Daphnia pulex: one gene and its partner. The protein of the gene in region 1 purifies or fractionates together with the protein of each later gene. This does not show direct contact. Links are inferred from orthologs where the notes say so. Each region holds a gene or a part of one and is shown on either strand. Other genes may lie near its edges. The genes, in order: PHD finger protein 12-like and GATA zinc finger domain-containing protein 1-like.

Region 1 (4,545 bases):
TTGTGAATTAATCCCAAAAAAACTGGATAATTGATTAATTGTTCAACTTACTGGAACAATGGCCGATTCCATGTAGTTCTCCAAGTGATGATAGTAACATGAGCCAATCTTTACCAATACTTGTAGCCAAATCAGAGATTCTTCAACGCTAGACGATTGTGTGCCGTCGCAGACAACTTGCATGATCGCATCTCGACCTTCCTATTTATAAATAATTCAATATTTTGTATCAAAAATTTTCAAAAACAAAATACAAAAGCAATTGAGCCCAATACCTCAGTGTCAAATGTCGGGTAAATGCATTCCAGAGAACTCAGTAGAGCTCGAGCAGCTGCCAGACGAATTCTTGTAGTTGATTTGCTGTCCTCCATACAAAATAGTATGGAATGGAGGATTGACGTGTAAGAGTTGACCAAAATGAGCACGTGCTAAGACAAATAACATTAAGAGCATTCAAAAATGTGTTATTAACCAGTTAACTCACAATTTCTTGACAAATGAAGGCGATGGCCTCTAAGGCTGCCTCTTTTCGATGTTCATTTGCTGGTTGAACGACCACGTCGCAAAGCTCAGAAAGCAAATCCTCCAGAGAAGTTATCTCAGAAGAAGGCTGTAGTGTTCCCGGGAAGAGACTTTCAGCTACCGCAATGTAAGCCAAACATTGGGCGGCACAACTTGGATGAATGTTTTCTGTTCCCAAGGTCGAAATCAAACGCTCAACCACGGCCATGCGAGTTTCTTCTTCAAGTTTTGACCATCTCTGTAGACACTCTTTCTTCAGGGTCACATCTTTAACAGTCAAACAGTTTTTCAGTTGGAGACCAGCAGCTTGACGAGCAATAGGTGAGTTGTTTGGATCAGCAATTACAACTGACATATTTGAAATAAATTGACCCTATAAGTATGAAAATACAAAGAACAGTAACAGATAATTATGTGGTGTACTAATAAACTGAGATTTGTTTTATTGAAACTAACCATATCATCCTGAGCATACTTTTCCAACGCCAATTGGGTTTCGGCCAATACATTCTTGTCTGAAAATGATACATCTTTATTAATTTAAGATTTAAAATGAAAGTGATATTATAGCTGCAATATGATATGTAGGAGTGTCGTAACATGTTGAGTCAAGAAACTTTGCAAAAAAGCCCCGCAGACAAGTAATATGCAATGTAAGATTGTGATATCAACAATGAAAAGATATTAAGTTGCATTGTTTATTACCTGGTGAAATAGTTTGTTCTAAATACTGGATGAGACACTTCAATGAATTCGCCATTTCTTTACAATTAGAGCCTTGTGGCTGCCGGTGACTGTATAACTGTACGGCACGAGTAGCTTTGAGATGTCAAATCTAAAAATCGACACATAACTCATGACTAAAATCTGAATTCTGAAATGACACAGAATAGGCCTAACGACTGTCAATTATTTTTTAAGTCGTCGCCTTCGGCTGATCATTTGCCCGCAAATTTCGATTTTTAAACGGAACGCCGGTTCGCATGTTGAGCTTCTGTTGGCTGCCGCTAGGTTCTTGGAACTCAGATTGAAAGATGTTGTTTAGCATCGAGTCAAATCGACACTTAAAGTTTTGTTGTTTCTTGATTCTTGCTGTCGTTTTCATCTTTAGAAGATGCTCGCATAGAAACATTAGGATTTAGTGAGATTATAATTACATTTTCTTGTACGCAATGGCCAATTCTCAATATGATCTCGATCTATCGGGTGGATTAATGCCAGTAAGTTCACTCTTTAATCGGCTGTATGCTCATTTATGGATGTCGACTAAGATCGGTGTTTTGTTTATGCAGCAAATTCAAGCTCTACTAGCACCACCTTTGTTGGAAGATATTTCAAAAGAAAAGAGAAAAGACGGATTGGCGTTGCATCCCTACTACAGACGACCAGGACGAGGTCATAATCGCGATAGTTGTGATGCTTGTAAAGAGGGAGGTGAACTCATTTGCTGTGACTCTTGCCCAGCATCTTTTCACCTACAATGCCAGTAAAATAATACCATCAATTCAAATTTATTTCTAATATTTACATTATTCTGTTTTCACTGTTTCAGTGATCCTCCATTAGAGGAGTCGGATTTACCCAAAGGTTTGTGGAACTGTCACAGTTGTCGTATGAAAAAGGTAATTTTAAACTTGTGTAGAGTTAAAAGAAAACAATTGACCAACAAAACATTTGTTTTCAGGCCCAAGATGCTGCAAATCCTCTTACAAATTTCATAGAGGTGGATGACGGAGCAGACTCTGATTCCAGTAAAACTGGAAAAAGACCTTATAACTCAGCAACTCAATCAGTAGGCAGTGGTCAGGGAGCCCCTGAAAGAATATCTGGTCGCCGTCGAACAAACAACTCGGATGATGTTGATGTAGAAACCACTGGAGTTAGTTCAGAAAAGTCCAGTGATAGAGAAGACGTCATTGTTGATAATATGGGCAAAGTCTCATTTTTTGCCCCTCTCATCAGAGTAGCAGCATCTATGAACCCACAGCAATTCGAACTCCCACCAGAACTTGTAGAACCTATTCCTTTTCCAGGTAAGCTAAAACCAATATTAGATAAAATTGATTAACAAGTTAATTAACTTGCCATTTTCTAGGTACCAGTAAATTGTGTATTTCGAAAAAAACCGGATCTGGCCCCAAAAAAAAATCACACGAACTTGATAACGGGCTCGTGCCATTACCGTTACGAGCGTGCTTCTACTGCAGCAAGTATGATTGAATCAGGTTTCTGTTTCAATATAGTTACATCATCAAATTCATCTTTCGAATTCTTAGGAGTTGCCGCAAGGCGCCAATGGTTGCCTGTGACTTTTGCCCCCTGGTTTTCCATCTGGATTGTCTGGATCCTCCCCTTGTTTGCATGCCAGTTGGCAAGTGGATGTGCCCCAATCACCCTCAAAATATTGTAATATTTTGCCTTTTAAAGGAATTTTCCGTTTATCTCACAGAAATGTTGAATTCTTTATCACTAGGAATATAAATTGTTGCCTGATTCACGACTTTCCGAACGAGTGAAGTTTTGGTCGTTCTTACAGAGACCCATTGACCATGAAACTGTAAAAATCAATTTCCTCCGCAAAGTAAACCGAAAAAATCCGCCTTTTCGTCGGAAGGTCGCACTACCTGGTCGTCCTCGTATGAGGGTAAGTGTTAGAGATGCTACTCTTATCTTCGAAAATAACTAACGAAGCATTTTGCAGGTCCCACAAATCATCAAGGACCAGTACAAACATCCACCGTTACTTCCGGCGCGTTTAAATGGAGCTCAACCATTTTACTGGTCGTCCGTTCTCCCAGAAACACGGAAGGTATGTCCATTTTCCTTTCAAAATCTGGACTTCCCCTTTTAATTTGTTAACCATTTCGTCGAATTCCAGAATTTGAAATCATTCGATAAAAATGAATTAATAGACGAGGAAAACAAAGATAGAGAACAATCACGACTTCAGGAGGATGCTCAGCAAATAGCAGCAGACTGCGAAGCAATGTTTTCAAACGAAGGCGAGACTGTCGGAAAATTTGATACTGCGTTACCTGAACGGAGAGATAAAGAGTCTGTGGAAGGATCGAGCTCGTGAGTGGTTCACAAATTAAAAACGCATCAGATTATTCAATATTCAGAAATGTCTTTTATGTTCAGCTCTTCTTGGGATGGTTTGTTTGCTGAAGAGTTTCAAGATATCGAAGCAGATGTCAAAAGTTATTTGGGAACCCTGAGGCGGGGCATGAAAGAGAGTCACTTGAAAGTCTTTATGGAGCAGCTATCGAGTAATTTTCAATACTTTTTCCTCCGCAATAGAACGGGATTATGACTTTTTTAACTTTTTATTTTCTAGATGATTTGCTAAGGGCAATGGATCAAGAAACAGTGAGAGCTCTTGCCATGCAAAGAGTGCAGCAGCTAATCCTGAACCCAGAATCTCGCTCGTTGACTGTGTTCCCTCTTCCTGGAATGATGTCTTCTGGTTGCAGCACTCAGTCTACAGTCATTCCACAACCTTGGCTTCAGGCCAGCAGTGCTTCCGACAGTGGTAACATTATCTGTACGAATTACAGTCTCGAATGGATCAACAACTTTCTATCTTCCCCTCTTATCGATTCAATAGACAGTAGTCAAGCCCAGACGAATGTCTTCCCACGACAGCCTAGAGCATTCCTCTGCCCTCTTAGCTCAGCTTATCCACCAGCACCCATCTACTATCGCCGACTTACTATTGGCACTGGTATTATTTGCCCTTCCATAACTATAGTTGAATTATCGGTTTTATTCTTTAAAACATTTCTGTGCGTTAGGTGCTGACATGGATTTGAACTTGTCTACGTTCGGTGCGTGCAGCTATGTTTCCGGACATCACTCTACTGTGTTTTACGATGAGGTATTTTAATGTCTACTCTAAAGCCAATCAACTTTTATGTAATTGTTCGTTTTTCTTTTAACCCAAAAACAGATGTCGAGACATTTCGAGTTACTAAACTATAGCGAGCACGGAACCGTTGTTGATAACGTCGTGTATTGCTGCGA
Region 2 (3,458 bases), on another chromosome or scaffold:
CAAATTTTGAAACGACTTCATCACTTCACAGAATCACGGCCCTCTATGGGTGATAATCAGAAACCCATTGGACAAAATGGATGTATTTGACGAACCTACTATACGATTTCGAATTTGTTATAGTTCTTTTAAACTTTTTTAAGGTTTTGAATTAAAACTCAAATTAAAATAACAAATTCCCGCTGGTGATTTCAAGTTATAATTGTCTATTAGTTCGAATGACGCTAGTATTATGAATGAATAAAAACCCATACAACTTATACAAGTTTGAAAAACTCATTAACATTATCGATATTATTTTTAAATATCATTATATTTTAAATGAACTGTTTATTACCACTATAATCGAAACATTTTTACCGGTAGACTAGAAAATATTTCAGCTCAAAATTTCAGCACAAAATAATTTCTAAAAACATTGTTACCCGCAAGGCAAGCCGTAATGCAGGAATGGTCAAGTATTATTTTTAAGAAAGCCGTGCAAGCAGGTAAAAAAATCTTCTATAATTTCCGACATGTAATTTTCGAAAATATCTTACTAAAATTGTGAAAACTCTTAAAAATTTAGAAAAGAACACTTAAAACAGATCAAACAATTTAATTTACTCTTCCTCCGAATTTCAGTGAGGTAGCAGAACATGTGACAAATATTTTTAGTTACAAACTTCAGAAATGATGGAATTGTTTTACAAACGAATCTGTAATGGCATTAAAAGACACAAAGAACAAAAGAGCCGGCTGCCTTGGTCTTTCTATTCTACTATAAACGGATGATCCTGGTGGAATTTTTCATGAATGAATAGTTCTTCGTACGGCACCCATACTTGTCCAAATATAGCCAGCTTCTTTTTCACTAGACACTCGAACATTTTCATCCAGTTTGTAATATTCGTTCGGCGCATGCATTACGAAATCAAGATAATCCAGCTTACGTGGCAATTCTTCTTCAGGACCTAAACCAAGACTGTTTTAATGCTGTACAGAAAAAAAAATATAAAATTCACATACCTAAAATATATGTCTGTGGATCAAATCCCACATCTGGGGGTGGTGAACTTTGAGTTGGGATGAGCCAAGTTAATACAGCACTTTTTTCACAAAATTGGTCTTGCAGAAGCCCACGAATTTGTGCATAATAAACTCCATCATCTTCATCTGTGACTGAAACTATGTCCCCCACTTGATAATAAATGTCATGATGAAACAAATGCCCACTAGTAAAAGAGGTAGAAGCAACAGTGGGGGCTTTAGATGGTAGCTAAAATTTAAAAAGGAATAATTTATAAAAAGTTATTGGAAAAATCTATTTAATTTTTCTATCAAATTTATGGATTTGTTTAACCTGTTTCTTGAAAACAGCTCTTCTTCCACGTCCTTTGCCAACTGTTGCTTTATTGGCAGTTCCTAGTTTCTTGCTTCTTCCACGTGTCTTTTTTGTTCCTGTGCGTCCACCTCTACTGTTTGAAGTTGTGTTTCCTGACCTGGTCCCTGGGCCAAATTCATTACGTGGCTTTATATCATCCACAAGTTCATCCACAACAACATCATCCACTTCAATAGTTTCATTATAAGCATCTTCTTCTTGAAATTTTATTTCTGGTGAAGGCGCCTTTTCTATAACAATAGATTCTGTTTTCACGGTTGTTGTCAATTTCCCTTGAAAGCATTCGCTGCAAACTGTATTTCCTTCGTTGTTTTTTTGCCATATCTCTGATATATTGATATCGCATTTAAAACAAACAGGTTTTATTCCAAATGGCATGGTTAAGGTTAATAACAAAATCTATTACTTGAAATAGCACTAGCACCGAAAACGAGTCTCCCAAAAATTGTTTCACTTTTTATTTACAAAGCAGAAGACTTTTACTTAAGTTGTGGACAACAATCTACAACATTGCAATTTCTAACTTGTGTAATTTTATATAAAAATAGTTTAAACATTGAATGCAAAATTAAATTTTTAAATAAAAATTGGGTGTGATGAATCAAAGTCTTAGTAAAATTTAAATTTACCATCGATTGGATGGTAAATCACTACTAGAGAACTAGACGCTAGCTGGCGCTCAAAATGAATTTTCCGTTTGTAAACAAAACCATTCTTCTGCTAGATATTTGTATTTTGGACTCCCCGAATCATATTTTGTAAATCCCCCAAATTTGATCTGTGATAGACATTTTGAACGATTCATGTTGGGTGAGAATGAAATGTGTTAACATTTTTTTTCCTACATTTAAATCAATTTTATATGATTTTATTAGGAAATAGTGAAGGCCTCATTTTCATAGAGCAGTATGCCAGCAAGGTGACATACTACACTTCACAGTATGGAAGTATAAATGGAGTGTCTTACACAGCCAACAATTTAATCGGTCCTCCTTCTCGATATCCGGCATATGGAGATTTTCCTGAAACCTACGTCCCGGTACTTTTTTATTAAAATTATTAGTGCAAGTGTGAAATAAAAAGCATATTCTGAAGACTATGTAGAGGAAGGTCTATTTAAAAAAAAAAACATTTGTTCTTCAGAGAACATATGGGCCATGGTGGAAAGAAACATTAGTAATTTCACCTTCTAAAGGAAAAACTGAAGTTCTCATAACAGGACAGGATTTTGTTGGTAATTCATTCATTTTACAATTAGGGACTTTTTTGACATACTTTAAATGTAGATATCCTGTTTCAAAAACCTGTCTATCCATACTGTGTAAATGTATATGAAACATATAACTCTGGTTGTGTGAGACGACTGTGGGCTGGTGATGGCCAAGGAAATTGGAAATTGTTTCATGAAAATCATATGAAAAAGTCTCTGAAGCATTCACAGATATTTTCTGCTGAACCTCATCATCTACAGTTTCTGACTAGGTAGAACTGAGTGTTTAGCTTCTTTTTTCAGCAAAATTCCTATTTTATATTTCTTTAGCATTATTAGAGTTGAAATAGACAGCAGTTTGGCCGATTATTATCCAGAGATCGATGCTGTTCTTCTGGTTGGAACAGAAACCTATCCTCCGTTTGAAGAATCGCTTAAACTTTGTGTCACAGGATTATCTACGAAAATTATTGGATTGGGGCTCCATCGTTTAGTGCCAGGCTTCAATGCAATCGAAAGTATACAACGGCTCTGTTTTAAGTACCAAGTCCCAGCGCAATCCTCAACTATTTGCCATCTCAGTAAATTACCCGTGAGGACCGAATTTCATCAAGTTGATCTTGTTTCTTTTTACTGCTTTATTTAGTATTTTTTTTTTTTTTTTTTTTTTTTTTTTTTTTTTTAACAGGAAGAAATTTTACGCATAATACTCTCATTTTTGGATCTTCACAGCTTGTGCTCTTTAGCATGCGTCTCGACCTCATTCAATAAAATATGCAAGGATTCGGTGCTCTTCACTTCAGTGAATTTAAAAGTATTAAACATCCACTTTCAGTTAGCCCAATTTTTCTTCTAATGGGTTGA

What was found.
Region 2: the proteins of PHD finger protein 12-like (region 1) and GATA zinc finger domain-containing protein 1-like purify together in Homo sapiens (affinity purification with mass spectrometry; 7 studies listed by BioGRID and IntAct, with this or other methods). This does not show direct contact. The link is inferred for Daphnia pulex from reciprocal best matches to the Homo sapiens genes PHF12 and GATAD1.

Annotation. Positions count from the first base shown.
Region 1 is NC_060017.1:4,332,958-4,337,502, reverse strand, and holds the start of PHD finger protein 12-like, read left to right. Parts: upstream 1-1,545; 5' UTR 1,546-1,694; coding exon 1,695-1,742; intron 1,743-1,814; coding exon 1,815-2,008; intron 2,009-2,074; coding exon 2,075-2,144; intron 2,145-2,206; coding exon 2,207-2,555; intron 2,556-2,617; coding exon 2,618-2,732; intron 2,733-2,798; coding exon 2,799-2,928; intron 2,929-2,995; coding exon 2,996-3,166; intron 3,167-3,223; coding exon 3,224-3,331; intron 3,332-3,400; coding exon 3,401-3,597; intron 3,598-3,663; coding exon 3,664-3,791; intron 3,792-3,859; coding exon 3,860-4,066; intron 4,067-4,129; coding exon 4,130-4,246; intron 4,247-4,316; coding exon 4,317-4,399; intron 4,400-4,471; coding exon 4,472-4,545. Other genes in the region: importin subunit beta-1-like, read right to left, coding at 52-201, 276-428, 485-895, 979-1,037, 1,228-1,282.
Region 2 is NC_060026.1:11,475,607-11,479,064, reverse strand, and holds GATA zinc finger domain-containing protein 1-like, read right to left. Parts: upstream 1,880-3,458; 5' UTR 1,763-1,879; coding exon 1,343-1,762; intron 1,259-1,342; coding exon 1,009-1,258; intron 954-1,008; coding exon 790-953; 3' UTR 579-789; downstream 1-578. Other genes in the region: F-box/LRR-repeat protein 4-like, read left to right, coding at 2,188-2,194, 2,260-2,423, 2,489-2,618, 2,671-2,866, 2,925-3,186, 3,283-3,408. UniProt on the Homo sapiens protein: Component of some chromatin complex recruited to chromatin sites methylated 'Lys-4' of histone H3 (H3K4me), with a preference for trimethylated form (H3K4me3).